Caenorhabditis elegans: one gene and its partners. The protein of the gene in region 1 interacts with the protein of each later gene in a pairwise test. Each region holds a gene or a part of one and is shown on either strand. Other genes may lie near its edges. The genes, in order: gsp-1, knl-1 and mel-28.

Evidence for each region.
Region 2: the proteins of gsp-1 (region 1) and knl-1 interact in a two-hybrid assay, tested with the Caenorhabditis elegans proteins (2 studies listed by BioGRID).
Region 3: the proteins of gsp-1 (region 1) and mel-28 interact in a two-hybrid assay, tested with the Caenorhabditis elegans proteins (one study listed by BioGRID).

Annotation. Positions count from the first base shown.
Region 1 is NC_003283.11:10,678,310-10,688,098, forward strand, and holds gsp-1 (Serine/threonine-protein phosphatase PP1-alpha), read left to right. Parts: upstream 1-4,112; 5' UTR 4,113-4,219; coding exon 4,220-4,274; intron 4,275-4,604; coding exon 4,605-4,736; intron 4,737-4,995; coding exon 4,996-5,226; intron 5,227-5,936; coding exon 5,937-6,400; intron 6,401-7,432; coding exon 7,433-7,540; 3' UTR 7,541-8,196; downstream 8,197-9,789. Other genes in the region: F29F11.20 (uncharacterized protein), read left to right, coding at 9,592-9,685. UniProt on the Caenorhabditis elegans protein: Serine/threonine-protein phosphatase which antagonizes the function of air-2 in the regulation of chromosome cohesion. Dephosphorylates histone H3 at 'Ser-10'. Dephosphorylates translation initiation factor eIF2alpha.
Region 2 is NC_003281.10:8,247,687-8,256,592, reverse strand, and holds knl-1 (Outer kinetochore KNL1 complex subunit knl-1), read right to left. Parts: upstream 5,962-8,906; 5' UTR 5,958-5,961; coding exon 5,812-5,957; intron 5,765-5,811; coding exon 5,675-5,764; intron 5,623-5,674; coding exon 5,217-5,622; intron 5,172-5,216; coding exon 4,446-5,171; intron 4,402-4,445; coding exon 3,858-4,401; intron 3,814-3,857; coding exon 3,473-3,813; intron 3,430-3,472; coding exon 2,650-3,429; downstream 1-2,649. Other genes in the region: F09G8.5 (leucine-rich repeat domain-containing protein), read right to left, coding at 1-36, 84-212, 473-702, 1,100-1,165, 1,242-1,618; C02F5.2 (DUF5356 domain-containing protein), read right to left, coding at 6,431-6,564, 6,611-6,701, 6,745-6,851, 6,902-6,956; C02F5.10 (uncharacterized protein), read left to right, coding at 7,121-7,250, 7,457-7,551, 7,599-7,781, 7,831-7,860; TM2 domain-containing protein C02F5.13, read right to left, coding at 7,940-8,153, 8,780-8,906. UniProt on the Caenorhabditis elegans protein: Acts as a component of the outer kinetochore KNL1 complex that serves as a docking point for spindle assembly checkpoint components and mediates microtubule-kinetochore interactions.
Region 3 is NC_003281.10:4,782,221-4,793,693, reverse strand, and holds mel-28 (Protein mel-28), read right to left. Parts: upstream 7,615-11,473; 5' UTR 7,614-7,614; coding exon 7,523-7,613; intron 7,479-7,522; coding exon 7,341-7,478; intron 7,283-7,340; coding exon 7,034-7,282; intron 6,988-7,033; coding exon 6,880-6,987; intron 6,836-6,879; coding exon 5,919-6,835; intron 5,871-5,918; coding exon 5,751-5,870; intron 5,708-5,750; coding exon 5,223-5,707; intron 5,170-5,222; coding exon 4,655-5,169; intron 4,605-4,654; coding exon 4,261-4,604; intron 4,211-4,260; coding exon 3,122-4,210; intron 3,067-3,121; coding exon 2,974-3,066; intron 2,924-2,973; coding exon 2,831-2,923; intron 2,786-2,830; coding exon 2,693-2,785; intron 2,647-2,692; coding exon 2,344-2,646; intron 2,297-2,343; coding exon 1,985-2,296; intron 1,909-1,984; coding exon 1,681-1,908; intron 1,636-1,680; coding exon 1,498-1,635; intron 1,449-1,497; coding exon 1,410-1,448; 3' UTR 1,303-1,409; downstream 1-1,302. Other genes in the region: mip-1 (HTH OST-type domain-containing protein), read right to left, coding at 40-244, 300-419, 470-588; enu-3.2 (ENhancer of Uncoordination), read left to right, coding at 8,515-8,574, 8,633-8,980, 9,095-9,232, 9,394-9,954, 10,003-10,149, 10,198-10,332; C38D4.10 (WRKY transcription factor 14), read right to left, coding at 10,959-11,168. UniProt on the Caenorhabditis elegans protein: Nuclear envelope protein which has essential roles in assembly of nuclear pore complexes and in chromatin maintenance during the cell cycle. Appears to be a stable structural component of the nuclear envelope during interphase.

The DNA of each region.
Region 1 (9,789 bases):
TGAATGAAAATTTTAGGTATTGGTTTAACAAAATATATATATATTGGTTTCATTTTTTTCACTCCACTTACTTGATGGGTTTACAATTGGTTTGTTTTCATTGTTAGAAATAATTGTGAAAGCATTAAATTCGAGATTTGTTCTATGATATATAGTCTGTCAGACATTTCCTTATTAGATACAGGTGGGCGTTAATTATTTCTTGGTATTTATCAAATTTAGTTCCAAAGTTGATAAACCCGGTGGGCGAATTTCAAAGCACTTGGGTATTGTAGTTGTACACTTAAAATGTTTGTAATTCTTTGTTTCAATCAAAACATGATCATTTATGGCATCATTATTTTTATTTGGAGACTTAGAAAAAATCAAGTCTAAGCCTGAAATTTCATTTTGTGTTTAAATGGAAATTAAATATATTTTCAACAAAAAAACAATATGACCACAAGTGACAAACCAACTTTAAATCTTACATTTTGTATAAATGTTTCCGTTTTAATTGGCCTATTCTATGATTCATAGTTGACGGTGGCGTGTTCAATGAGTTCAAAAGATGAAGTATGTTTTGTTACTTACCTTTTCTTATTTCAATATTTTTAAACAAAAAAGACAAGTGAAATCGATACGTGTCTCCGATGCTCTTGATCTTTATCCCTTTTTCAACACAAAACACACGTCTTTCTATTCATTGTTACACAAAACATTGACTTATATGACCTGTGTCTTTTGATTGTGTATTCTGGTCCTGAAGTGTTTTGAAATTTAAAATAAACGTCTGTTATGCTTACTATTAGGTATTCTGAAGCCGTCACATTGTACTCTCTTTCTCTCTGTTTCTGTGGATTCATTTTTCTTTTTTAGTCTTGGTCATCTGGAAGAATAAGAAACAGAACGTTTCTTCGTAATTCGATTAGGAGGAAGTGGTCGGAGAATGACTTGAATCATTCCGAATGTTGCCGCTGGTGATGTGAAAGATGTATATTTCTCTAAATCTCGTCAATTGTTCTGACCTTATTGCTATACTATCGCTTCGTTCCGACACTTTCCCATCGTTTATTGGGAAATTTCACATCGAATACAGACGAGACAGTCAGTTCATAACGAATTCACTGTTATTTCCCATTTTAAACTCCCGAGATGTTTGTTTATGCCTTTATAATAACGATTCATTCGAAAAGAGCCAAAAATGTTAAATTAAAAATTTCTTGGAATATGGTGATTGAATATTATATAGAATTTTTATTTAAAAAACTGATACTCCTCCCACTCACGAACTCTTTTGGACAGCTGATTCAATGTTCTTCAAAAACTTGCTGAGTTTTCACTTTTTGCTCACGAATATCTAAAAATTAAGCTAAGCTAGCTGAAAATCATCAACTGATAAAAAACATACAATTACCGTACTTGTCTTTGAAGGCTTCTGTTCTATCTCGTAGTTACTGAGTCGACTCAGCGCTATTTGAAAGCAGATAGCAAATAAATAACGAATGATTCTAGCCATAGACTTTTTCGATACATATTTTCAATGTGATCTTATTAATTGCGGCTACAGTATGTTGAATAACTAAATCACATTCTGTTTTCATTACATATTTCATTAGAAGCATGTACCTAAACTTTTTTATACGAAAAATCTTAATTGCATCTGTATGCTCATATATAGTAACATTTGATTGAATCAGTCTTTATTTTCCAGCACAAGGCGTTCCTTCGAGCCCAAAGAAACGGTTTTTCTTCCCGGTCTCTGCGCCTTGTCATCTTCGTTTTTCTTCCTATTTTTCGCCCTCTCAAAAACTTGCGGTTACTTGTTTAGTCAACAACTTTTTTTGCTTCTGCTTCTGCGCGATTCAATAAATTGAATTCGAGACCCTCATCTCAACGTGAGCATCTCGTTGCCCCGTCCGTCCCTGCTTTCCTCCTCTTTTTTCATTTCCTTTCGGTCTTATTTTGCCTTCTCTCGATCTTTTTCACATGTGCTTACGTTTTCTTTCACCTCAATCAAAGCTCGAACATGATACTAAATTTTCGTGAGAAAAGTTTTTGACTAATAATTGTTTTTAGCTGTTTATTTGAAAGCGTAATTCCGAAATTTTCACAAATCTCCAAAAAAGGAGCCTAGTACGGTGGTTTTTTGTGTGCAATTGTGCGTCAACTTGTGAACAGTGTTTGCGGACTTTCAAAATAATTTTTGTCCTATTGCATTTTTTGAATGTTTTTCATCGCTTTTTTCGTTTATGAAACTGTTTATGTTACGAAATCAAGTAGTTTTATTCTTTTTTAAATAATTTTCGTTTGATATAACTATTTTCCGTAATGTCATAGAGGCTTAAGGTGATTTGAATGACTTCTTGGGGTATTTATTCCAGAATTTATTTATTTCGATTGAATAGAAAAGAAGTTGGTTTAAAATATGAATAACATGTGTTATCATTTAGTTTATATTGTTAACATTATATTAGTCATCGAAAAGTTTTACACCGCGCAATGAAAAGAAAAATAATTACGAAATTTTATGGCTCGTAAATAGTTCTTTTTGTAACATTTTGTTGGCAGAAACATACAATTTGTCATAATTTTATGCTTAATAATAAAAAATTGTTTATTAAGTGTTGTTTGAAAAAAGTCTGGAATGTCGTATATCTTTACCGCACAGGAAGTGTTTGCCTTTCTCAATCTTTTCTTTCTCGTCGTCGTTTCCTCTTTTCGAAACGTTCTGCGTGCAAATCAAATACTTGTACATCTCGTTTTGCCCATTTGTTCTAGAGAAGAGAAAGAAAGAGCACCTCAAGCTTCTCTAGCCGTTTTTTATTGTTGTTTTTTCTCACAAGAATAAGCGTTACCCTTTTCAAAAGATAACAGACTATGCGCAAAGTGTGATAAGAAAACCTTCTCGGAAGTTGTCGCCGTTTTTGATTCCATGACGTCTTACACGATGTCAGTAGTGTCGAACCAATATCGCACGTGCCACCGGAGGTAGTGCAATAACATTGCGAATTGTTTCGGCGAAAGAATGGAAACGACGGTGGCGAGTTATCGATCAATACTGCGGGCAGTGGCCGGTGGATCGGCGCGCGTTCGTCTCTCGCTCCACTCGTACACTCACACATAGGGACAGGCACATACACATGCGTCTCAGTCCGTCGTCACTTTTCGCTCCTCTTTTTATACGCGGCATTTCATCCCGATCTCCTCATTTTCCTCCACTATTGATGAACCTACTTTGCTTGACTACAGCCACACATGTTTCTCTTTGAAAGCTTCTGTTTTCTCTCTATCATATCTTCACCATTTCCTTTTTCTAGTGCTGTAAAGTTATCCGCCTGCTGTGACGACGGTGTCGTGTTTATGACATGTTCCTCCTCGGGGTCGTTGATAACGGCAAAGAGAAGGAACGGGCGTCGTCTCGTTACCGTTTTCCGATAAAACTATATAGGTGTATAACTTGAAATTGGCCAGAAAAAAAAAGAGTATTAGAGTAGCTTCGATTTGCCTCAAGGTGCATAAAGCGGTGATTCACGTTTCGAATTTGAGAGACGCAGGTGTTTAAGTGAATATGGTCTCAGTTTGCTCCCCAATTCTTTTTGTTGTCTTTTGCTACCACAGGACGAAGGAATTTCTCTTAGTACACCAACAAACTTTTTTCTTCAAGGCATCAGTTGCTCGTTTTCTATTTTCAATGTTTAGAAACAGTATAGCACAAATTTCACATAATTCAGTTTTTTTGTTTGTTTTCACGACACGCGTTTGTTGCCTTTTCAAATTCAAAATTTGCATATCGATTGTTAAAAACCATGTGTTCTTTCTTTCTCAAACATTTTAATATTGTGTCCATCACGTCATCGAGTTTCCGATTGAAACAAATCACTTTAAGGTTTTTATTCTTCAAAAATATAATCCAATCAGGAAATTTGAAAACTATATTATATTCGCATTACAATTTCTTGATAAAATTCTCATTTTTGCATTTTTCCTCTTGGAATTGTAATGATACGCATCACATCCTACTGCTGTTGTTTTTTGATGCTTTTTAAGCTTAGTCTTATCAATTTTCTCACGTTTTCCTTGAAGTTTTTTTTAAATTCTCACGCCAACGTTACTAATTTTTTATCTTTCAGCCACAACCAATATCAGTTGTCGGCCAAAAACATTGCAAGAACATACATCACTTGCCATCCATCAAAAGTGACCAACAGAAGCCGCGGAGATTGCAGCTGCAAAAACAATGTCGAACGATGGAGATTTAAACATTGACAATCTGATCACCAGACTTCTTGAAGGTGGGTTTTAAAGTTAATAGAGAAATTGATCTAATATCGACATTCGAACTAAACCAGCTGTATAGTTGTTCAGAAATTTTATTGAATTTTATTTGTTTGAAATTCCGACTAGAAATTCCAAATATTCTGGTTTTGAGGAATTTTGTTTAATATAGCAATTATCATTATTTATTATGGTTGGCAACTATTTATTTCAATAATTTCTGTCATTTTTCCACTTTCCGATTTTTACGGTCGTAAAAAATTTAATTAATATTTAAAATTTTACTAATTCTCTTTAAAGCTTATTTTAAGTGACTAATTTGATTTTTCAATAAAATTATTTTTCAGTTCGCGGATGTCGTCCAGGAAAGCCAGTTACCATGTCGGAGGCGGAGATCCGTGCTCTTTGTCATAAATCTCGTGAGATCTTCCTATCACAGCCAATTCTTCTGGAACTCGAAGCACCTCTCAAGATTTGTGGTGAGTTTTTTTATTATTCAAAAACCGTTTTTGTGTCTGCAATGTAAGAGACGACTAGAGAATATGGTCAATAGTCTTCGATTATTTATAAATTCTGTCTAAAAATTCAAAGATAGTTCAATTATTTAGTAAAAACATCACTGAACGTATGTGATTATTGGAAAAAAAGTCCGAATGTCATTGAAAAGTTTCGCAGCATACAATTTAGAATGTTAATTTCTCTAAAAGTTCAATATGAATGAGAAATATTTAATTTTAGGAGACATACATGGACAATATAACGACTTGCTCCGTTTATTCGAATACGGAGGATTCCCACCAGAGGCCAATTACTTGTTCCTCGGAGATTATGTCGATCGTGGAAAGCAGAGCTTGGAAACAATTTGCTTGTTGCTCGCATACAAAGTCAAATATCCAGAAAACTTTTTCCTTCTTCGTGGAAACCACGAATGTGCTTCAATTAACCGTATTTATGGATTCTACGATGAATGTAAGGTTTTTTTTTGCTTTAAAGAAAATTCGAAATATTAATTGAGATATTACGTGTCCATGATTTGATGAAAACTGCGGAGACGCCTGCGTCTCTCTTCTCCACACGCTCTCTCGCCATAGGCGTTTTGCATAGGCGTTAGATAGCATGCGAGAAAAAGAGACGCAGGTGCTTTTTGCGCTTAAGATATGGCGATTTTTCTCACCCGCACATGGATACGTAATAACAAATTATTCCAAAACAAAATATTCGCTTTTTTTTAAATTTTCATACGCCCGTTCACATCAAGTAGAAACTTTCTCCGGATGACAAAAAGATTCTTAATAACCATGCATCGGTTGTGTATATTTTAATTTATATTTCAACGAAAAATTCCATTAAATTCTGGGTTATTAAAATTTGTCCAGTTCAATCAGCAAATTTCGATAGTTAAAAAAGGAAAATTATGTCAATTATTTTTTCAAAATAACAGAATAATTACAATTTTCAATCAATGTAAAAATTTGGAGAACAATAGCTACTGAATTCTTTGAAAAAATCAGTATATTTTGAAGATTTTCTTATTTCTCTTTTTTTCAGATTCTTATACTCAAATTTTCATCAAATATCAAAAAAAAACGACCAGGTCCTCAAATTTTAATTTAATAATTTTTAGAAGTAAAAATTGCTGGAATTGTTATTGAAAAGTCTTTAAACCAAATAATTTTCAGGTAAGAGACGTTTTTCGATCAAATTGTGGAAAACTTTCACCGATTGCTTCAACTGTCTTCCAATTGCTGCACTCATTGATGAGAAGATCTTCTGCTGTCACGGAGGACTCTCCCCAGATCTCCAAAATATGGAACAAATTCGCCGTGTGATGCGACCAACCGATGTTCCTGATACTGGATTGTTGTGCGATTTGCTCTGGTCTGATCCAGACAAGGATGTTACCGGATGGGGAGAAAATGATAGAGGAGTCTCGTTCACATTTGGACCTGATGTCGTTGCAAAGTTTTTGAACAGACATGATTTGGATCTGATATGCAGAGCTCATCAGGTCGTCGAAGATGGATATGAGTTCTTTGCTAAGCGACAACTTGTCACACTATTCTCTGCTCCAAATTATTGTGGAGAATTCGATAACGCTGGTGGAATGATGAGCGTTGATGAGACATTAATGTGCAGTTTCCAGGTAAGAATATTTCTGTTATGTATTCGAAGGCCGAACAAGGAGAGAAGACGAGTAGTTTATTACATTACTAAACTAAGGAATAAATAAGTTAGTTCATAGAGTTCACGTTATACGATCTTCTTAGCCACGTCGTGGGTCAATACACGTTCCAACAATTTCATTCTTTTTCCAAATATTCCAGATCCCCGAAATGGAATAAATTCAAACAAGATGGAAAATCAGAAACCAATTTTCTAAATGTGTTTACAATTGATTTTTAAATTAGGGGTCGGGCATCCTTGGTCAAGAGGAACCGATTTCGAAAAATTGAAACCTCGTGAGATTGAAAATCGAATTTATGTAAAAGTTCCTGCTCTTCAAATTTAATTTTGGCTGGGAACTCATTGAACATTCGCATCACATCAAGAAATAATCTAGCATGAGATGAACCTTTTTAGAGAAAAACGGCACCGGCATATTTACAAATTCGTATTAAAATGATCGAGAAAATTAGAATGCTAGTGGCTGTGTATTTCACGTGAAAAAAACTATCAAATTCTTTAATTTTGAATATATTTCACAAAATCTCGTGAAATTTGTATCAAAAATCAATAATTTTTCGTAAATCTTAGAAATCTCAGGAACCGAAAATGAGCTGTATTAGTATTTCACCTTCCATCTTCTTTCTTTTCCATATCAAAATATGAGAGAAAAAGTACCATCAAACGGTACTTCTTTATTAAAATCCTACATTTCGGAAAAAATTTAAAATGTTTAAATATATAATGTTGATAATTGTTCAGTTAGTGACAATTTGTTCTTTTCCCGAAAAAACAATCTAACTCAAGTAGTTGCATCCCATGTTACGTCAAAACTCTTTTTCTTCCAATATCCTCTTGAACCTATCGGGAAATAATGACCAAACTGAACCATCAGTGATTATTAGATAATTTTATACTCAAAAAGCTTATAGAATTAATTTTGATCGGATAAGACTGAAATTGTTTTTTTTCAAATAAATTAGAAAAATTTGATTCATTATTTATTTTACAGATTCTGAAACCATCGGAGAAAAAAGCGAAATATCAGTATCAAGGAATGAACAGTGGACGACCAGCAGTGGGCGGAGGACGGCCTGGAACGACTGCTGGTAAGAAGTAAAGTGATGAGGAGAAAGAACATTTTTGCCTACATTTTTACTCATTTCTCTCGGATTTTTACTTTTCTGTCCGTTTTTTTTGAATTTCCCTTCTCTTTTATCTCAAACATTTTATTATTTTCTCGCCCTCAATACACCCCACCCCGCACAAAAACGAGTTTTAAATGCTCTTCATTATTATTTTCTTTTCTGATTTTCTATTTTTGTGCAACTGTACTCGATCGAATATAATTTAATTTTTCTGGCGAGTACAGATTGCAAATCTTTCTCTCTCTCCTTCTGTGTTCTCCATTTTTAGCTAAATTTTCTCATATATTTTTTTTCTGATTGCCTCTCTTTTTCCATTTGCTCTTATCCTGTTTTATTCTTAGTTGTGAGCCTAACACACCGGGATCAAAATCCTTCCGATTTAAAGTTGCAGCTTATTTATTCTTACAATGTTAATCACACAAACATTCTGAAAGTACGAGAGCGAATTCGTTCTTATTTTTTAGAATATTGAATTCTGATCCGCCCCAACAACACGCACACTGATAATTTTCTATGGTTTTTATTCGAAAATAGTGAATTTTTCTCGACAGCTCCCCCCGTTCCTTTTTCTCGCCCCCATTTCCTTCTTTCTTTCCTCCAACTGATTCCAATGAATATTTTTTCCAAAAGGTTTCTCTTGCGCAAGAACCAGTCACTCAAATTTTGTGTGTGTGTGTTTGGTCAAAGTATTTATAAAACACATACTGTCTTCAGGCAAAAAAATAATGGAAAAAGTATGAATCACATTGTTTGGAATGAGTACAAGAATAGAAATAAAATGTTCGTTGGATGGAAAAAGAATAAAGAGAAGGAATCCTGCCAAGGGAAACCAATTACTTCTGAAACATTAAATCAAGATCAGGGAAATTTAATATTTCAGAAATAACTGCAACACATAATCCTTTAAACTGGGCAATTATTTTTTAAAAATTCTATTTGGTAGTTTTCAGAATGGATTTCGTCGCCAAAATAATGTTATTTATAAACCATTCGACTCAATAATACGATACCTGGACCCGGCACGACTGTAATATTTTTTAATGATTTCTGTGAAAAGCAGTGTGCGTCTTTCAAGAGTACAGTAGTTTACACTTCTGACTGCTGCACAATGTTTTCAATTTTTCGCTTTATTTTCTTTTGAAAGTTCCTTATTTTCAGAAATTTAAAGTATGCATGTGAAAAAAACTATTTTACAGAAAAATGTGAAGGAATCTTAAGATGTGAAAAATCGAAGAAAATTGCATTCTACAGCAGAACGGAATGGACGCCACTGTAATCATTAAAGGCGCAGTCTTTTTTCTCGCAGCTTTTATTAAAACATTTTTTCGTGACGAGACCGGGTACCGTATCCCAGCGTCATTACAATTTTCACATCTGGGAATATTGTGTTGTTCTTTATTAAGGAAAAGTTAACAAAAAACACTTTTGTTGTGATTTTGCGAATTAAATGAGGTCCCGTGTGCGCCTTTAATGAATACTGTAATATCAAACTCTTGTTGCTTCGGAATTTTCATAGATTGTTCATAGTGTTTCACACGATTTTTTAACATTCATATGCTTTGTTTTTCGTTTTCTTGATTAAATTTTTCTTCAAACAATGAATGATTAATGAAAATTCCGAAGCAATAGCTTGAAATTACAGTAATTATTAAAGGCACACGCCTTTTCGCATTTAACGAACGTTTGTCGTGTCGAGACCGGGGACCTTATTTTTTAGATCGCAAAATCTTGCCGTGTAATAAAATCCTCGCATTCCAATTTCAAAATGCTCAAAGTTCTTAATATGTGTGTGGTTTGAACTCATAGTTTGCTCTACAGTGCCGTAATACGAGACGGAGCACACAGGTTAAGACGTGTTTGAGCAGCATTTCACAGTTTGTCGCAAAAACTTCGAACAGTTTTTTGCCCGTTTCGCAGACAACTTTGAGAGTTTACGAGAGTATTTCACAAGTAAATACATTATTTCCTTCAATTGTTGCCACTCGGTCTCATTGACTGTGTTTCACATTATTTGCAATTGAAAATGTTCCAGTTGTTTAAAGCTCCGCCCATTGCAGTTCGCTTAGATAGAGAAAAACAGAGAGGAATCATCAGACGACAAGATTATTGCTTTTTTGGTGGGTTTTTTCAAATGTATAATTCAGCCTATAAAAGGTAAACTTCATTTTAACCAAGATGGTTTTAAATTTTACTTTAGCTCTAGTAAACATGGTTTTTTAAA
Region 2 (8,906 bases), on another chromosome or scaffold:
GAGGTTGAACAATTCTATCGACTACTGTTGGGCCTACTGTAATACAAGAAAGACGATTAAACATTAAACAAACAGACACTCACCATAGAGAGATCTACTCATCAAATCAATACTATTCGATCTGTTCGATCTTGCACTGTAATGAGAATTATGCATATCACATTCTGGAATACTGTCCTCAATGGCTTCCTGATGATCAGTTGTCGTTACAGCTGAAAAACTGAAGTTTAAAGTTTTTGGAGAGCTTCAGCTTTCGAGGTCATTTTCGGTTTTAATATTTGGATACATTGAAAAGGTTGAAATATGCGAAACTGATCTAAAATTCTTTTTAAAAAAACCAAACATTTCCTAAATTCGGAACTTCGCCAAAGCTGGACATTTTTAAATTTGAAAACTCCTAGGAGTGTATAATTGTGATATTTGATAATTTTCGATGGTCATTAGTGTAACTAAGCAAATTCTAAAATCTTACGCTTATCATCAAGTTTTGTCAGGTTTGGTAAAACTCGAATAACTTTTCTCCGATACTCTTGACCACCTTCTCCAACACAAGGATTCTCGTCAATCCATAGGGTTCTTAGATTCGGTAATTCTTTCAGATATTCCAATTCATCTAACGATTCCAAACAATTCTTCCGTAAGTACACTTCTTTCAGATTTTTACAGTGTTGAAGAGGGGCAAGGGATTTCACTTCATTAACACTGAAAATGTTATATTTAAATTCTATTATGAGGTAATTTTTGGAACTTTTAAATGAAGACTATTTTATTAAAATGATCATAGGAACTTTAAAAAGATTCCCACAAAGAAATCCTCCAGAAAGGAGTATATTGGTGAAATGATTTTCAGATTTTTCAAAGCATAACAAAAAGATTCCAGAAAGTTTTCCTGGTTTTAGATACATTTTGCAATTCACCAAAACTATGACTGATTTTTTTTAATTCAAAAAATTTGTTGTGATATTCAGCCATGTTTGCCTTCATAAGTGCTTTTAAACTAAATCCTCACTTACTGTTCCCCATCTATAAAAGGAACATCTAACTAATAATCTAGATTTTCAAAAAGCTTTTGAAAATCATAATATGAGACACAACCTACCTCAATGATAAAACTTCCAGAAGGCTCATTTTCTCACATACTTGAATGTCATCGATTCCGCACCCCCTGAAACAGAATACTAATTTTCTTTTTTTTTTTTGGAATTATTGCTTTGAGTTAAAAATTCAAATTTTCAACCTACCATAAATTTAGCTTTTTCACATTCTCTAGTGAACATTTTGTACGAATATATACAGCCGATTCAGTTAATTTCACCATAGTCGTGTCCCGTAATGAGTAAAAGTAATGGGACAAAGAGGGAAAAAGAAACGAGTTAGATGAGGGACTCGACGGAGCAGCTGCTGGTAAAACTGAAATGGAGAAGGACCTTCTTTTGGGAACGAGAAAAAGGGAGTGGTGTTTGAAATTGTTGGCAGAGAAAGAACGAAAGTGGAGGAAAGAAAGAAAAGAAAGAAGAAAAAAAGAGAAGAGATGTAGAATAAGAGGAAGAAGCACACTTTGGAATGCAATAGAAACCAACATGGACAAGCATGACAAAAAGAGCAACAAGTGCTCCATTTCAAACATGATAAATGATCATATTCAGAACTTCTCTAAGAATTTTAGCTTTTTGTGAAGTTTTCAAGTGCATAAAAAATTATTTTCTGATTTTCATTATTAGGTTGATTTAGAAAGCTCGCGCTATATGTTAGATTCTTCTTAACAGTGGAACAACTAGGTCGTAATGACCAAATATAACTGTACAAAATGTTATAAAAATATTATTTTTTCTCAATTTTACAACAAGACAATTCAAATGGCTGATCAGGCCACGCCCACTTTTTGGAGTTTTCATTTTTTTCTGGCAAATTCAATAGCCCTTGCAAATTTTTATTTTTGTTTTTCAAAGCCTCCACATAAAAATTAAAAACTGAGAAGAAGTAAAACTTTAAAAAATCAAAGTAAAACTTAAAAAAATCAAAGTAAAACTTAAAAAAATCAAAGTAAAACTTAAAAAAATCAAAGTAAAACTTAAAAAAATCAAAGTAAAACTTTAAAAAATTTGTATACTTACTGCTCACCTACGTACCTATGTACCTCCCGAGGTGTCAAACTCTTGCCTACCCGCCTTATTATGTATATTCTATTTGGAACTACAGTAGTAAATAGTAAGCTAAAATTATTTTTAAGAGAGGAGACTGAAGCTCCGATTTTTTAAACTCCGATTTTTAAACGCACAATAACTTCATTTTACAAAAAAAAACACGGCTACAAAAAAATTTGGTTACAAGGAATATTTATTCATTTGACTATTCAAACCATAAGTCTCCTTTAGATTGATTGAGAATGAACTAGGAATAAAAACATAACTTTGTGATTGCTCTGAGGCATAAATGTATAGGGGAAAAGGTAAACATCTTGAAGGAAATACAGCAAGTGCGGTTGATGCACAATGGGTATTTTTAGATGAAAAAAAAACTAAAATATATGGCACATTAGGTAAAGAATTATATGAGCATCAGAAGTATTGTAGGCCTGATGCAAGGGAAGGGTGAAGGCGGCATCTAAAATTATAATTTTTGACTGTTAATTTTTCGATATTAAACTCACTAGAAGTTCACAATTTTCTTAACAGCCTTAGAGAACACCAGCATTCGACTTTTCTTCAAATCGTTCCTCTGGGCAAACTTCTCGTGTTCTTCCGCGACTTTCATTTCGAGAGCATTTTTCTCTGAACGAAGTGCAATCATGTTTGAGCGTACATTTCGGAGTGCTTTCATTTTCTGGTCGAATTCCCATTGCTTCATCTCCATCCACTCCTTTCGGATTTTCCCGCTCTCTTCGCGTGATGGAGGAAGACTTCTCAGCTTTTCTAGTTCTTTTTGAACGACAGCCATCTTATCGAGACCTCTTAGCTGCTCAGCCATTTTCGAATTTCCTTGTTCTAGTTCAGCAATTTCCTGGTCACTTTCAATTTTTTTCTCGAGTGCAAATTTCAGACGAAGCTCCAAAAACTTGATTTCCGCGTCTTTTCTTGCAATCATAATCGCTTCTCGCTCATCATGACTAAACTTCAAGAGCTCCTTAGTCTTCAACATATCAATTTTCTCAGCAGAAAGTTGATTGGTTGAATTCAGAGAATCAATCTCGTGTTGTACTTTCATTTTCTCGTTTTCAACAATACGCTGAAATTTGAGAGCTTCTGGATGTTGTTCAGTGGACGGATCTTCAGATGTTAAATATACAACGTTGACCACAGCTGGATCGAAGTCTGGCATTTCGAATTGAGGAGATGGAGGTGGAAGTTGTACATTTTGTGACATCAATGATGGTGTTCCTGGGGCAGCAGTTTTTGAAGAATTCAGATGAGGAGAGCGGACTGATGTATTCTGAAAGACATTTTCGATTCAATACTCAAAGAGATATTCTTACCATCGCGAGAATATCTCTTCCCGAATCGTTCAAACTCATACTCGGCATCGAATCTTGACTCGTCTGCATAGTTTTATTCTGTCGATATTCTGTCAGAGCTTCCATTGTTTGCCCATTCATCGACATTATAGAATTCTCCAACGCAACACGACGAGGAGATTCACGAGCAGAATTCAGAAGAGATCGACGTCGTTTAGAGATAGACTGGTTGATGCTCAAATTGAAAGCCGAATATGTTGAAATCTTGGACGTGTTCACTGCTTCCGAGTCGACATTGTTCATGATTTGCGATGTTTCATTATGGCCTTGGAATGTGAAATTCGCGCCAGTATTCGAGGTATCTAAAACATACTTTTAATAGAGTTATTGAATAAACGAAATTTACCATTTTTCTGCAAAGTCTCATCTCCGAATTGCTCCTGCTCTTTGTTACTGTTCAGTTCAACAGCAATAGACTCATGGACCATGCTAATGTCTTCACACGTTGTAATTTGCATAGTTTTAAGAAGAGTATTGTTGTCCAATTCCATCGAATTGTTGAGAGTTGCACTCGAGTTGTGAAGGGCTGATGGTTCTTTAGTGGCAAGAGAAGCTGACTGTGAAGCAAGGATGACTGGCGTCTTCGACGAACCATCGTCTTCCAACTTTTGTGCTACATCAATCATGGAGGAGTGCATAAAAGCCCTTTCTTCTTCGATGAGCATAAACGACTTTTTGTCGATTTCCGAATGAACAGAAGATTCGTTTATCATGGATACGTTTTCTGAAGCATTTTCCTCTTGCCGCTCGAGAGACGTGTAGACATCATTAGTTGTAGTCACTTCTACATTCGACTTTGGCAACGTCAAGGTTCCATCATTTTGTGTCTCGTCAATGCTCATTTCGTCACCGAACACGATAGATTTCTGCGAATCAATGATCGAGTTGTTCTGAAAGAAATACATTTTTATTGGAAAGTGTGCTTAAAACTTACCGCTCCGATCTTTACTCTGGCAGGACTCTGGAACACAGCCATGGTGTCGTTTACTGCAGGTGAATCTCGAATCACCGAAATGTCCATTAAATCCTCCTTTTGAAGTTGCAAGCCGTCGTTCTGCTGATTACCAGCCTCACATGGTTGTTGTTCAGTGATATCCATATCCATGTCTAAATCTTCCACCTCATCTGCGATACTCGGGTATTTCGTTGATTTGTCAGCGGCTTCAATCGTTTTCTCGAGATCCATGCTGCTCTTACTGACGTGTTTCGGGCTGTTGAACATCGCCATAGTGTCATTTACTAGAACTTTCGGAATAGAAATGTCCATAAGCTGACTTGTCTCGAATTGATCATTTTTCTTCTCCGCGTTTAATACGGCCTGATCAGTGATGTCCATGTCCACAGGTACGACGTTCGAGGCGATATTTATTAGATTCTGAGGAACACCCAAACCCTTATTACAGATGTCTCTCGGACTGTTGAAAATGGCCAAAGTATCATTAACTTGAACTTGTGGCGCCGAAATGTCCATCAGTTGACTTGGCCCGAATGTATCATTTTTCTTTTCTTCAATTAAAGTGTGATGTTCAGTGATGTCCATGTCTACAGGCATGACGTTTGAATTAATCGGAATCCGGATAGCATTCATGGTATTATTTTCATCTAATTTACTCGTATCCATTTCAGCGGCTTCCAAGTTTGTGAAATTGAACACATTCATCTGTAAAATTAAGATAATTTGGTTCCTTCTATTAATTCAACATACCGTTTCATCGCACTGGCCGCCCGCTGCTTTTGATTCATCGAGGTCCATCGGTATAGTTCTATTCATTGTAGCGTTATGCTTCGGAACTTTGGGAATCGTGAAAAGAACTGAACGATCAACTGACATATCCTTATCTTCTTGATTCGTTGTATTGAACATTGCTAAGGTATCATCCAGTGGCATACTAACAATTCGCTCGGTAACTTTTGTTGTGGTTTCGACGATCTTTTCGTATAATAGTGTTGGATCTCTTGTGGTTTCAAACAATCTCGCCGTTTCGTTGTTCTCGTTGATAGTTGTTTCGAGAGACATATCCATAGTTTTATCGAGATTACCACCGCCGAACACTTGAAATGAGGACGTGCAGGCCGGAGATTCGGAAATATCCATGTTTCCGCCACGTGGTCTTAAAAAGATTTTTACGTATTCATTATTTCACGTTAAAGGATGGAACTCACGTCAAAATACCATCTGATCCAATAGTGTCAGTAATCTTCTCCTTAACTGGTGTGGCGTCAAGAATTTTACCATGGTCCCTGTCATACTGCCTGAAATAATTATTTTATTGATAAATTATTCACTGACTCTAACTGACTTGACATGCTTCACGTTATGAAAGCTGACTCGTCGATTAGTTGTTGTGGAACTAGGCCCACTGTTCATGACGGTTTCCTCGATGGTTTCGACGGCTTGCCGCACCTTGAGAATCGAGTTCCGCTTCTTACGAGGCTCCATCGACATGGCTGTAAATATGTTTTAAAAATGGTAATAAATTATGATTAAAAAAATAACAAAACAACGGCAGCATAAACTTCGTTAAATGGGAAAAGTAAAAAAGTGAAAAGTAAACGAAGGCAGTTTTGCTTGGCGGCAAATCTCTGTTTGAAATTGAACTTGTACAATGGAGCGAAGCTGCACTCGACACACCACCGGTTCCGTAGAACGCACACTACGAGTAATTCCTTAACTTGGGGCAGTATAATACAATTTTAATAGTTTAAAAAACCAATTGTTTCAAAAATTAGATAAAATTCAATATTAATAAATAAATATATGTACCATTACAGCTGATACACATTGCAAAAATATTTTCTACGAAATTCGAATTCTCAAAATCCGTAGTTTCTCTTGTGAGTACTGTATTTAGATATTTTTTCAGGCAGATTTCAATTAATTTTTTTTTAACCGTTAAGCTTTATTCAACACATAGAGAATCAGGCGGTATCTCTCCAGTCAGGGAATTCTAATTTTATTTGCACTTCTGTTCCATCTGGTGTAGTTTTATCCAAGAGCAATTGACATGATTTCTGAATCAATCGAGCCAAATTGTGGTGTTCTACGACAGGCTCTAAACCAATACAAATTAAGTTCCCAGAATTTTGTGATTTCTCAACTTAAAGGCAATGGAGTTTGTGGTGGAGATTCTTCAGTGACAATTATAGTTTCCATGTTCTTCTCAGTTGCTGAGAACACATTAACTCGATTCTGGAAAAGTTTTAATGAAAATCTACGTAAAAATAAAAATTACCGGCTTCTTTTTCACATTGAGAAGTTCTGCAGAATACGGATCATCTGATGCGTTCCATTCCGATTCTGTATAATTTTGAAGCGCTTCTCCAGTTGAGCTTGGTGGAACTAAAACTTTTTATTAAAAAAAAAACCGAAAAGTTATATATATTACTCACGGCTTATAGAAGTATCAGATTTACTAGGATTTTCTTCCTTCTTTTTGTTGTCCATCTTGTATTTGAAAATGATTTGTAAAATACATTTCCATAAGTGAAAACTCAAAATTACGTGTATTGCATTTTTTTTTCGAAATCTTTTAATTAAGAAAAAACATCTTTTGAAAAGGAAATAATTTTATTCTTCAAAACGATAAAATCAAAATCAAGAGGCAAAAAATGGCAGAGCAGCAACCAAGCAAAGAAGAAAAGAAAGAAGATAAAAAAGACGAAAAAGAAGAGGAACTACCAGCACCAAGTGTTCAGCAATCTATTCGACAGTTGCCGAAGATTCAAATTACTGATGATGGTAAGGATGAAATTTCAATATTACACAGATGCGAAATTTTGTTAGTTTACGCTGAGAAGTACGGTGCCCGGTCTCGACACGACCGAAATATTTTTAGGCAGCGTTTTTAGTTAGAAAACAGGCGTATGGCTTTAAGGACTACAGTAACCCAACTCCAAGCTATTTTACAGTTTTCGCATCTGGACAATACAAAGTTTAATTTCCAGATAAGGGCGAACAGCTGCCAGAATGCACTGAAGGAGAGTGGGATGCCAGTGATGAACCGTTCTCAGCTGAACTTCTGAACGTCAAAAATGCTCCAGTAAATATTCAAATTTGTAGTAAATCCTTCTAATCATCCAATTTCAGAACAAGGTATCCGTGTTCAGTGGTCCTTATCGTTCCAAAGAAACCATTGAAAAAATCAAAAAGTTCAGAGCAGCAATGCCTCCTGTCATTCCAATCATTGACGAACGGCCAGATAAGCTGGCTCAAATGATGAGTCGTATTTTCAGTGAGATAATTGACGGACGTGATCTTTCGAAGATTAAGGTATTTTTCTTTATAAAGTAAATGACAAAGGAAATTACAAATTTTACAGGTGACAGTTAGCACACAATTGCCGCAATGATTGGATTTGACAATATGAGATCGGTTGTAAATATTGACCAATAAACAATTAATTTTCCACTCGTATTAGTTAATTTCTTTTAATAGTACGGCTCCCAACTCGAGTCATCCGCGGGTCCGAGTACTCCAAGTACCAGTAAGAATATATCGACAATCCACCAGATTCCAAATCCACCCAAAGTCATTAGTTTTCCGACAGCCATTGCAGAATATCCCAGGCAAAAACGGTCGACAGCAACCACACCGAGAAAAATGGAATACAGAAGAGTTGTGAGAAAGTAGTGACCATTGTATCTGAAAATATGAAATTTATATTTTTTCTGAATATACTTCAAAAATCATATAATCTCTTCGTAGGAGCATCTTTATTGTGTCAGTTTTAAATAATTTTTTTAAAATAAACCCCGGACGCGAAATTTTGCGACTTTTGCGGCAAGAGTACTGTACCACGTCTCGACACGCCTTTTTTGTTAAATGCGAATTTAAAGAGTACTGTAATTTCAAAATTTCGTCGATGTGGAACTTTCATCGATTTTTTAAATATTTTTGGTGAAAACTGATTTAATAAAATTTATTTATTTATTTATTTGCATGTATAACATGAAAACACTTTAATTTTAACAAAAAAATTTTCTTTCGATTTGTGAAAATTTAAGTGTTTTCAAAAATAAATAATTAGTCTTTCACATAAATTTTATAGTAAAACTCCGTAAAAACTGTGAACATTCCGCAGCGAAATTTGCGGCAGTAAATATAGTTTGAAATTACAGTACTTTTTAAAGGCGCACGCCGTTTTGCATTTAACTAAAATTGTCGTGCCGAGACCAGTGTGACCAGAATTTTTTTGAAACTCAGGTTTTAATAGCTATTTATATTTCAATCAAAATAAAATGTTGAGTTTCGCTTCAAAAAAAGCTTACATTATACAAGGTGTTGACTTTGTAAACGTTCTTGGTCCATGACATTCAATACACGGAAGAACTCGGCACTTGACATTCGTGAACTCAACGTCCTCTGCTCTGTATCCACCCATTTTCAGACATTTTC
Region 3 (11,473 bases), on another chromosome or scaffold:
TGTTAATCTTGAACATAGTTTTTTTTTTTCAATTTGAACCTTTGCCGGGTTCGCTCTGGCAGATGAAGCTGGATACATAAATGAGGGTTTCGGTGAGCGCAAGTGAGCTGCATATCCGAATCCACTTTTATTATGGAATCCCATAGACGTAGCTGCACGAATGGGCTTTGCACCTTTTCCACCTTTCTTTTTTTTCTTCTGCTTTGAGATCAGATTGATTAGGTCTTGATTGTCCTCATTTGCGCTGAAAACGAATGTATTGAGTTTTGACTCGAATAAGAGCAATATATATTTCTCACACAACACTGAAAACTCCGGATAAATTTTGTCGTACATCTTTGTGCTCTCGCAGAAGTTGAGCCATATCTCTCACACCAGCCTGTACATATTTTCCAACATATGTGTAGCCAAGCGTGTCGCTAAATAGTTAATACATTAAATTTGAGAAATAATGCCGCGAAACACAAACTCCATTCTCCTTTCTACTTGATTTGGGGTCGCTCCTTCCTGGAATGATAGCAGAACACTGTACACGTCGCGCTCGATGCGCGCGCGTATTTTCTTCTTGGGATCGTCAGCTTCCGTCATTTGCCAAGTGAATGTCACTTCTGAGAGAACATTTTACAATTTGATCAAGTATTAACGTGAAAAAGATACAAAAATGTTACAGTAAATTGTAAAAAAGACTCAGACCCAGTCTGATGCACGGATAACTAATTTTACAGATGTTTACAATACGTCAAGATCGTCCTTACATGCTAACGTCTATGAACAACGTTAAAATTATTATTTTAACATGAAAATATCATCAAAACATAAAAAAAACAAGCTGTTAACAGAGAACAACTGCGAAGAATCATTTTATTTAGAATGGGTAGCCGAATTTTAGGACAAGCCTTTTGGCGCCACATATTGCGTAGAAATGCACACGCAAATGACTGTTACAGTAACCTTTCGAAAGATTTAAATTAGTTTTTATAAAATTGGATTTTTGCAGTGAAGAATATATTTAACAATGCCGTCTTTTTTCTACACGAAAAAACGTTTTATTGGTGCATTAAAAAACAAAATTAAATAATAATTCATCATTACCACGAGAAATTAGAAAAAATTCTGCAGAGCTTCGTTTTGGAAATTTTTTAAATGTGGTATAAACACCTGTTTCGCATGCTAGGAACAATCGTTCACATTTTCCAGTTAAAATTAAATTATCGAATTTGTTGCTTGAAATTTAAAAACTATAACGCCATCCTGAACTCTCCGTTCTATGCACCTTTATTGCTTTATTTCCAATTCAATGTTAATGCCAAACAATTTTATTGGAACTTATTTCACATGTGTCAGTTGAAGAATTTCAAATAATAAAATAAATAAGGACAAATAGTTAAAATTTGAGCTGTGTTCGACCTCTATTGTTTAGCACGGCGAGCTGAACGCAGTAGAGGAGTCTGAAAATAAAACACCTCGTTTGAGAAATCGTATTGCTGAAAATATTACCGCAGCCGTTTCTTTTCTCTCTTCTTCACCCTCTTCAATATTTTCCAGAACGGTTTTGGGCGGTCTTCCTCTTCCGCGTTTTGGAGTGGTTGGCTCTTCCACCTCTTGTTGTACATCAATAGATGATGCTCGAGATCTCTGAAAATAATAATTTTGAAAAAAAATTATGTTTTGGGATCATACCGTCACACTTCTAGACTGTTTACTGGTACCAGCTTCATTAACCGCGGCATTTTTCTTTTTTGGGGTCTTCTGCTTGCTATCATCATCGATCGATTCGGAATTTGCTCTGGATCTAGCCGTTCGTTTGGAAGACCGTGTAGGTGTGGCTGGTTGTTCGATATCTGGAGAGGATGAACGATCTTCTTCATCTTCTTGATTTTCGAATATCGATTTAGGCTTGGTGCCACGCTGAAACGAAAACAAATCAATTTACAATTTATGAATACAACATTTTTAATTCAAAAAAATAATTAAAAATGCTTACAGCTTTACTTCCAACTTTAGGAGATCCTGCATCCTTTTTGGCGGGTCTTCCTCTTTTTGGCGTCGTCGGTGCCGATTTGTCGTCCTGATTAAAGTCGATCGTTTCCGAATTGCCCCTCTTTCTAGAAGTTGTACGTTTGGTAGAAGCAAGTGCAGATGACGATGGGTCAACAGTTGTATTTTTGACAGATGCAGAGCGAGTGCTTCTTGATGCAGGCCGTTCCTCCTCCGCTTCTTCTTCTTCTTCTTCTTGAACTTCCATTGTAACCTCTAGCGGGGATGGCATCTTTTGGATGATCGATTTTTTACCGCGCTGAAAATGTTCGAATAGTTGTATGATTAAACGATTAAACAACGTACAGTTACACTTCCAGCTCTACTAGAAGATGTACTAGCTGCAGCCTTTTTCGTGGGAGTTCTTCCGGTTTTTGGTGTCGATCTTCCATCATCTTCAGACGACTGCTTGCTAACAACCTCAGAAGTTGCCCGAGTCCGACGCCGAGTTGTCATCGCAACCGACGTCTCATCTGGTTCGGCAACAGTATCATTCCTAAGCGATGTGGAGCGAGTTCTTCGTGACGCTGAACGACTTGGAATTTCAGACTCCAAAACAGATTTATTTGCTGCCACTGTCTTCTGGGCTGATGCGGATCGAGTATTTCTCTGGAAATATTGAACTAAATTTTTAAAGAAATCACGAGAGACTTACTGATGGAGGTCTATCTTCCTCGATGAGTTCCTCTGGCTTCTGGTCTTTTACCTTTGATGAAGATTTTTGAACAGATGCCGACCGCGTATTTCTCTAGAAAAATACACATATAAATTTCAAATTTTAAAAACAACTCACGGATGGTGGTCTATCTTCTTCCGTGACTTCTCCTGATTCCGAAGTTTTCTCTTGGTTAGATGATTTTTGAACAGACGCAGAACGAGTGTTTCTCTGAAAACATAAATTTTATTTCTGTCTGTCAAATTGATGACGAAACTGACAGATGGAGGTCTTTCTTCCTCGACAAGTTCTTTCGGATCCCGGTCTTCCACTTGTGAAGTAGACTTCTGGACAGATGATGAGCGAGTGTTTCTCTGAAATATACAATTATTGCCGTTTTTCCTCAAATTTTATTTTATGGTATCTTACAGATGGTGGTCTATCTTCCTCAACAGCTTGTTCTTGAACTTTATCCGCGGTATCTTCATCACCTGTCGGAACTATGTCAGGCTCTTCCTGTAACTCTTCCTGCAGTTTAATAGACGATTCGAGAGATTCGTTTTGAGGCTCTTCCGGAATCACTGGCTGCATAACTTCAGGTTCTGGCTCTTCCTGTCGTTTTTCAGTTTTTTCAGGTTCTTTCGCATCTTGCTGAACTTCTTCAGATTCAACTACCTCTTCTTCATTCACTTCTTCAGATTTACTCTCCAAATCATCGGCTACATCAATCGTTGGTACAGCTTCACAATCCTCATCCATTTGAACCTCGAAAGATCTTTGAACTCCATCCCATATATCTTCATCTTCACCTTCCTCCTCAAGAATACCCGTTTTATCGGTTTGTAAATGACTCAAATATGTCTCATCGGTTGGTGGCATGACGTCATCATCTCGTACTTCAAACGTATCTTCCATGGGAGGAGTTTCCGAACCATTTTCTGTATTTGCAGCTTCTGGAGCAGATGTATCTTCGAGAACCTCGAAATCGTCTTGGTTTTCGAAAGTTTTCTCACTTTCAATGCATTCATCGTTTTCTTGTTCTTGATCTTTTACTTCTTCCATCTCATCCACTACATTTTTCTCTGAATCCTTCTCCTCGTCATGTTTTCCCATAGACCGTGATTTTCTAATAGTCATGGTTTCCTCTTCTTCATCTTCAAGAATTGCAAAGTTCAATGCAAGGCCTTTCCGACCATTGTCTTCAATACTCTCGTCAGCACCTCTTGGAACGTCAGCACGGAATCGGATACGGCCTCGACTAGCCGATTGGCCACCTTTAGCTGTTTTCAGAATACTGTTGTGAGCAGAGACTGGCGGCGGTCTGTTTCCAGCGGGCGATAGAAATCCATCTTGAACATTTTCCTCCTCATTATGTCGCTTGTAATACCGTGCCGGTGTTGCAATCATCATATTGATTTCTGCATTTTGGTGAGAATCCGGACTTGTGATACTGTTGATACTCGAATTGTTGGCAACAGATTCGACGGCACTCTTCCACTGTTGAATTCTCTTCGCGGTCTGTAAATTTCAGAATCTTGGTTTGTACTATTTAACTGCAATAATCTTACAGGTGGCACATATTGTGATGACGAAACACTACTCTCATCGTCTTCACCAAACTGACTTGATTTCCGCTTTCTTTCTGTTTTGTCATTGACAGAAGCGAAAACTTCAGGCATATCTTCGTCGTCGTTTTGCACCTTTCTCTCAAACATTTTCTTAACTGAAATTTCGATTTCCTGTTCTTTCGCAGTCTTCTGACGACCTCTTCCATCCTTCTTGATCATTCCTGGCAGGAAAGCCGATAGCAATTTGTTGGAACTAATCGCTTCTGATGACATTGCTTCAAACTTTTCGTTTTCAAAGAGAAACATTTGGTAGAGAATCTCAGATTCCGGATCGAGAACTGGCACTGGAAATTAAAAAAAATTAATTGGAAATGAGACTGAAAATCTATCTCACATCTAACTTTTCCACCTTCCATTTGCATTTTCATTCGTTGTTCAAATCGCTGTAAATCGTGTTTTCCGATTGTCACTGTCATCGGAGCATCTTTTCCCCACAATTTCTCATAACTAATCTCGTCATCTTTCATTGAGAATACTTTCTCTCCAAGTGCTCTCATATCATCCGATGTCTTGCTGCTTGTTAAAGCCTTCTTTCCTTGGTCCAGAATGTAATAAATTTTCTCCAAGTTAACGTTAAGCATTTGATTTGTCATGATTTTGATAGTTTCAAGTGCCAATTGTTTTTCGCTGTGTTCAGAATCTTCAGGAGATGTGGAAATCCAATCAATGACATATTGGACAACGAGTTCTCGTTTAATACTCTCAGAAATCGAAACATTCAGCAGGCATTCCAGCAAATCGAGAGGTGTTGGCGGATACCATTCGTCATGTGGAATATCGTTCCAGAATTGAGCATTTGGAGCTTGACGATTCATTTTTCGAACGACTGATTGAACGGGTAGAGATGATCTGAATAATTTAATCGTATAACTTTTTCTTAAAAAGGATTTTTCTAAACTCACGAGTTCTTTCTCGCCATATTTTTTCTCTTTGAATGTAAATCCTTCATTCTTTGCTGTCTGATCGGGTCTACAGGAATGATGGCAAAATTGATGAATTGGCTGGTAAGTTTCGTATGGTTTCTCATACATATCACAGAATGGGCCAAATTGCGAAGTCGATCATCTTTTAACGCTTTTGAACAGGCTTTCAGATATTCGTAAACAACTCGGAAAAGCTTGATTCCCTGTGCAATAGATTCTTCTGCTAGTGGAGAGAGAGCAAGTGATCTTCCCTGGAAGAGTGAAACCATCTTGTCAGAAATAGTTCTCTTGTAGTCAACAGCTTCGTGAAGTGCCCATTCTGCTAATTCCCGTTTTAGCGTGTCACTAATGTCAGGACGAGATGCCAATTGACAAAACTCTTCAATTTTTCCGTAGTAGACGATAACGTTGAGAAGAACCTTTTGATCAGACGATAATTGAAGTTCGTTTATTTCTGCGGCGCTCTGAAAACAATTTCATCAATTTAACTTTAAAAAATAAGCTCACCGAATTGGGAGATCCAGACAGAATATTTTTTCTCACTAAACCAGCTGCCATAACAACGCTGGAAATCATTTCGGGATTCCTGATGAGAGCAGGCAGTTTGACGGCGCATTTGTTCAAAATCTGAAAAAAAAACCGGAATAAAAACAATCTCAATGCCGATAAATTTACCGTGTCCTGGATGTTCTGGATCTTCATCCAGTCAATTCTGGTATTCTTGGCAACAAAAACCCTTTCGAAGCTTAATGCTGACGGATAAAACAGTTGATCTGCGTCTGAAACCATGCTAGAGAAGCTGGATACATCAGTGGCCTCATTTGTAAGAATTCCGATGTCATTTACATCTTCTGATCGGATGTTAGACTTTATAGTTGATAAGAATGCACATTGCTTGAGAACAGTTCCATCTGTAGATACTCGACCGGGAACTCTTTTGTAGTACCATGAATCTATATCAAAAATAGCTGCTTCCACAATGTATTCTGGTTCAGCATTCGGGTCTTCTGTGCCGATCACCATCTTCTTTCGTTCGTATGCCAAAAGAACAGAGTTTCGATTAGAAGTTGATCCGAATGTCTGAGAAACATTGTGCATCGAATCTTCCGTTCCTCGCTTTCTTGTGAGCATCATATGATCTCTTTCAGTAACAATAGGATTCACAGCCAACCATCTTTCTCCGAACAAAATCTTATGTTCTAGACAAACACTGAATGATGGACGGTCGTACTTTTCTTCTCCATCAACATCCTCGAGAGTTTTGAAAGATCCACGCCAAAGTTGAATCATGATTGGATGACGAGGTGAACAATCAACAGTGGCGATGAAATACTCAAATTTGTCGGGATCATCTTCTGGTTCTAATGGAGCAATTTTTCTGACAAGTCGTTCGTGTCTCAATTCCAAAAGCATCATCTGATTTGAAGGATTCAATGAAGCTGCCAGAATGCCTCCCATCGATAAACCGACAAGAAGAGTTCGACTTCTTGGCATCAACGATAACGCTGAGATATACACGGCGGCGGTTGGGTATTCACGATATGCTCCATCGTCCAAAGTGTACTGAAGAACTGAACCGCTGACGTAAGCATCTGAAACACACTAATCAAATTTGTTTAATCTTCGGGAAACTTACTCATTAGGTTGATCAAATACTTTTTCTCACTGTGAACTGTGATGACAGGACTTGACGGCGTCTCAACAGCAACTAAACGAGCTAAGTAGCATTGTGTCTCCTTGCAACCTGGAATGTAAATTTGCAAAGTTTTCATTCAAATTTGATTTATTACCAATTGCCACAATATGCTGCCACGTCATCAGTCGATGATAGAGCTTTAAAACTGTTCTCTGTGTTTCATCAGCCATGTCGGCAGACGAAAAAAGCGTCTTCACAACTGTAATTTTCGATGGAACTTCCAGTGAGTGTGTGATTGTCATGGCTGGTGAATCCGGATCAACTGCCAATGCAAGAACAAAGTGCTCGGCACCGCACGACTGACGAGGATCTTCAACACCAACAAGAATTCCGAGCTTTCCTTCTGTAAATAAAATATTTTGAAATCAATAAAGAAAATATGATAGTAATAAAAAACTTACCTTCTGTTGGAAAATAGTCCGCATCGATCAAAGCACATCCTTCAGGGAAAACGAACGAGTGAGTTACGCGTTCCCATTCGATATCGAATATTTGACACGTATTCTTTTTAAAATTCACAATGTAGGGAAGTTGACGACCTGAATGAATAGAATAATGTTGAATCGATAGAAATATGAAATACCAATTGAATCCTTCAAAATAATTTGCTTTTCTCCCCTCCAACACTCGTATCCTTGATATGATTTGAAAATGGACGAATTTTCATTATCCATTCTGAAAAAAAATAAACCTTTGCACATCGCAGCTAATAAATAACATTTAAAGAAGTGAGACAAAGAAATTATCAATTAAAATAAGTGGTTTTAGAAGTGCGTAGCTTAAAATAAGGGCTCGTCCGACTACATTCAAACGACCGGGAAAATTTGTTTTCACCAATACGCAAACACCGCAACGGAAACATACGGACTGCGAAAACAAGCGAAAATGGAAAATGCTTGCAAAGGTTAGAAGACGCAACGAAGAATGTAGAAATTGAATGGAATTCTTAAATGAAAAAAATCAATTTGAATGATTTAAATTGGAATATAATCCATATTACATCATTATCTTAAGAGAAGCACATACTTAAAATGACGTAAACCAACTTTTTAGCATTTTCAAATGACTTCTAAAAAATTAATGGAAACCCTTAAGAAACATACATTTTTTGGAGCAACGAGCGTAAAGACTGTTTTACTCAAGAAATGATAAAATGATAGGCGCATCGCGAAACCTTGTATTTTTTGAAGAAAAACCTTGTTTATTGAGTGAATAAAATTTGACTAATTGTAAAGGAACTTTTTACGAGAAATTCTTCGAAAACAAAATTAACCATCCGCGAAAAAAAAACAAACAAAAAGGAACCCAAAACAGGATGCAGGGGCGGGACCTATTCGCAGCCACCGCACACTTTTTTCGCAAGCCTCGCACGTTTTTTCTTTTGAAAAATGCAACAATATCATGGAAAAACGTGCGAGGCTTGCGAAAAAAGTGTGCGGTGGTTGCGAAATAGGCCCCGCCCCTACTCACGCGTGGCCACGTGGCACACGGCACACGTAGCGATTGAAATAAACAAATTATAACTTAAATTAGTTTGTGAAATCGGTTTCTCTCCGACACACGCGTCACTCAAAAATGCGTATTTTGCGTATTTTGTTTTCATTGGTAATCTTCGGATTAATAGTTCATGTATTGGTGAGTTGCCTAGACATCCTTCGATTTTTCTAGACCATAATGTTTCACCATTTTTCAGCCAACAACCACCACACCAAATGTGCCTGTTTCCGCCGCTACGAACACTTCAAACGTGACCGCTCCTGCCGGCAATTCGGCAAAAAGTCCTAATGCGACCGCTCCTGCCGGCAATCCGACGAAAAATGTAAACGTGACCGCTCCTGCCGCCAATACGACGCAGCTTGCTCTTGTGAGCTCGGCGAGCCCTCAAACCTGCAAAAATGGAAACGGCACACACTGCCCGTCATGTGCATACACGATCAATGTTCACAAGGACACGCCGAAGTACATCGGATATGGCATCCTGATCGCCTTCGTCATTTTCCACATTTTTTTGTATTTCTACCTCGAGGATCAGAAGGCGAGGGTAAGTGAAATTTTGCCAGTGGCCTAGCTTTTTATTGATTTAAGTTATATTTAATGAAAAGCGAATTGCGTACTACACGTGGACAACTTTCAACATACGAAACCTTCTTTTCAGGAGCAGAAGAAATATTTTGAGGAGCTCATCGCTGAGCAGATGGCGGCTAGGAAGCGAGAAGAACAAGACGATCAGCAGCACGAGGATGAGGAGAAGGAACGCCGAGAGCGGTTGGCTTATGGAATTGCCGCGAATCCGGTACGTTTTATTATCGATTTTTTTGCAACGTGGCCTAGAAAAAGCGAGAGCTCGGCCAAGATCTTTGAAGGTGGCCGAGTTTTCGCATTTCGCGGCCACGACGTAAAAACGGAATTATTAGCATTGAAAGAGAATTGAAAAAACGCAGTTTTAAATTTCAGTATGTGGTAGCAGAGAGCAAGACTCCCAATGGAAACGTCACAAAAGTGATGGAGAAACGACGATCCGCGGTGGCCCCGCCCATCACACCAGCCCTCGGAGCAGGCTCGACCAACGGACCATACGAGAGTCGGACCAAGACCGCTCAAAAGGAAGAAGCAATGAGCTGTCACTTGCAAGTGATCGCCGACAATTGGGGACGTGGAAAGGAGCTCATTTCGCTCATCAATGATTTGGATCTCCCTGCGCCGCTGGTGACGACAGAGGAAAAGGCGCGGTACGCTTTGGAGCTCGTGCAACATCATGTGGAGAAAATGACCGAGCAGAAGGTTTTCCTGCACGGATATCTTGATGATGGACCGCCGTTCGTTTGCTCATCGGAGACCTTGGCGAAGGAGATCTTCAGCGATGCCCGTCTTGAGCTGAAGCTTGAATTGACGTCGCCGGTGCACATGAAGATGGACGTGTTCTCTGTGAAATTGGAGCCACAACAGAAGACAGTGCTGCCAGAACCCACCAAGGAAACGCCGAAAACCGACGCTCTCCTCACACCGGGATCTCATGTAAGTCTAAAGGCACACGCTGGGTCTCACAACGATTTTTGTTTTCAGATTAAGGGAAGATCAATGGCGGCTGAATCGTCGAAGCGCAAAGCCCCGAAGGTGTCCACTGATTTGACGAACTTGGTCCCACTGCTCCAACAAGCTCAGATGCTTCCAGTCACCGAAAAGGCAACCAAGGAGAAGCTCCAGACTCCGGTTAGCTTAAATCTCATGATCTTTTTATCTAAAATTTCAAATTTTCAGAAGCAATCGCCAATGCCAGGCACCCCGGAAAATACGTCGCTCCCACCGTCCTTGATTAAGAAGAAGAAGAAGGAGTGGACATCGGAACAAGCAGCGCCGGAAGCGGTCGTCACTGTGGACAAGCCACGCGATTGAAGTTCTTCTGAGCCCCCGACCGCCTCTCAACTCCTCTCAACGTTCCCCACAATTGTATTATTTATGACCTCGTATAGTCCCATTCATTTTTCAAACTCCCCGTCCGTATTTATTTCCCCACACAATTTCACTTTTATTACTTTTCTCTGACAATAAATTTTTTTTTGTCAAATTTTGTTCCTCTTTCGACATCAAGGAACTTTCAGTTTAATGATTTAGTGGATTTAGTGGGTTACTGTAGCTCTTAAAGGCGCACTCATTTTTTTACGGGCGAAATTCAGGTGTTTCTAGGAAGTCTGTTGCCATCATATTTTATCAGATTTTTTTGACCGAAAAATTTGTTAGTCGATGCACCATGAGTTTTGTTCTCGATGTTCTTCATTTTTGTGGGATTTTCTGCAAATGCAGAAAATTTGTCGATGCACCATGAGTTATTCTTCTGAATTTTCGTCGTTTTGAAGGTTTTTTCGATGCACCGTGAGCTTCTCAGTGTTTCTAACATATTTTTTATATATATATATTTCTAAAGAGAGTTTTGTTGTACTATCCATTATATAAAGATAATGTTCAAACTTTATATAAATCGGATTTTCGAAAAAAAAAAGAAACAGCGGAGATCAAATAATTTATGAGTTTCTTGGGAACAAGAGACTGTCATCATCGTCTGGTACAGTGTCGACAACGATCGGACACGGTGGCGGGCTATTCGAATTGTCATCGAAAACGGAGAGGATGGCCGCCTCGTGAACTTCTCCATCGCCAGAGTCTTCAAGGAAATCCTGTGGGAAGCTGGAAAGCAGATCTCCATTGGCCGCCATGTGCATATCATTGAGCATATCGGCCGCGGTTTGCTGAAACTGAAGAATGGTTTAAGGAAGCCACGTGGAGTCATACAGTCCCTTTTCGCTTTGATCTACGAAAAATGCGGGAGAAGAGACGCAGACATCTTATCTGATTTTGCATGATTAAGAGCGTTCTGACGTCACAATTTTTCTGGGAAAAAATTCCCGCATTTTTTGTAGATCAAACTGCAATGAGACTTTCTGACACCACATGAGGAAGGCTATTTTTTAGCAAGACCATGCCGCAATTGCAAAAAAAGCGTGCCAGGGTTGCATATTTTTGAAATTAATACGGTTTC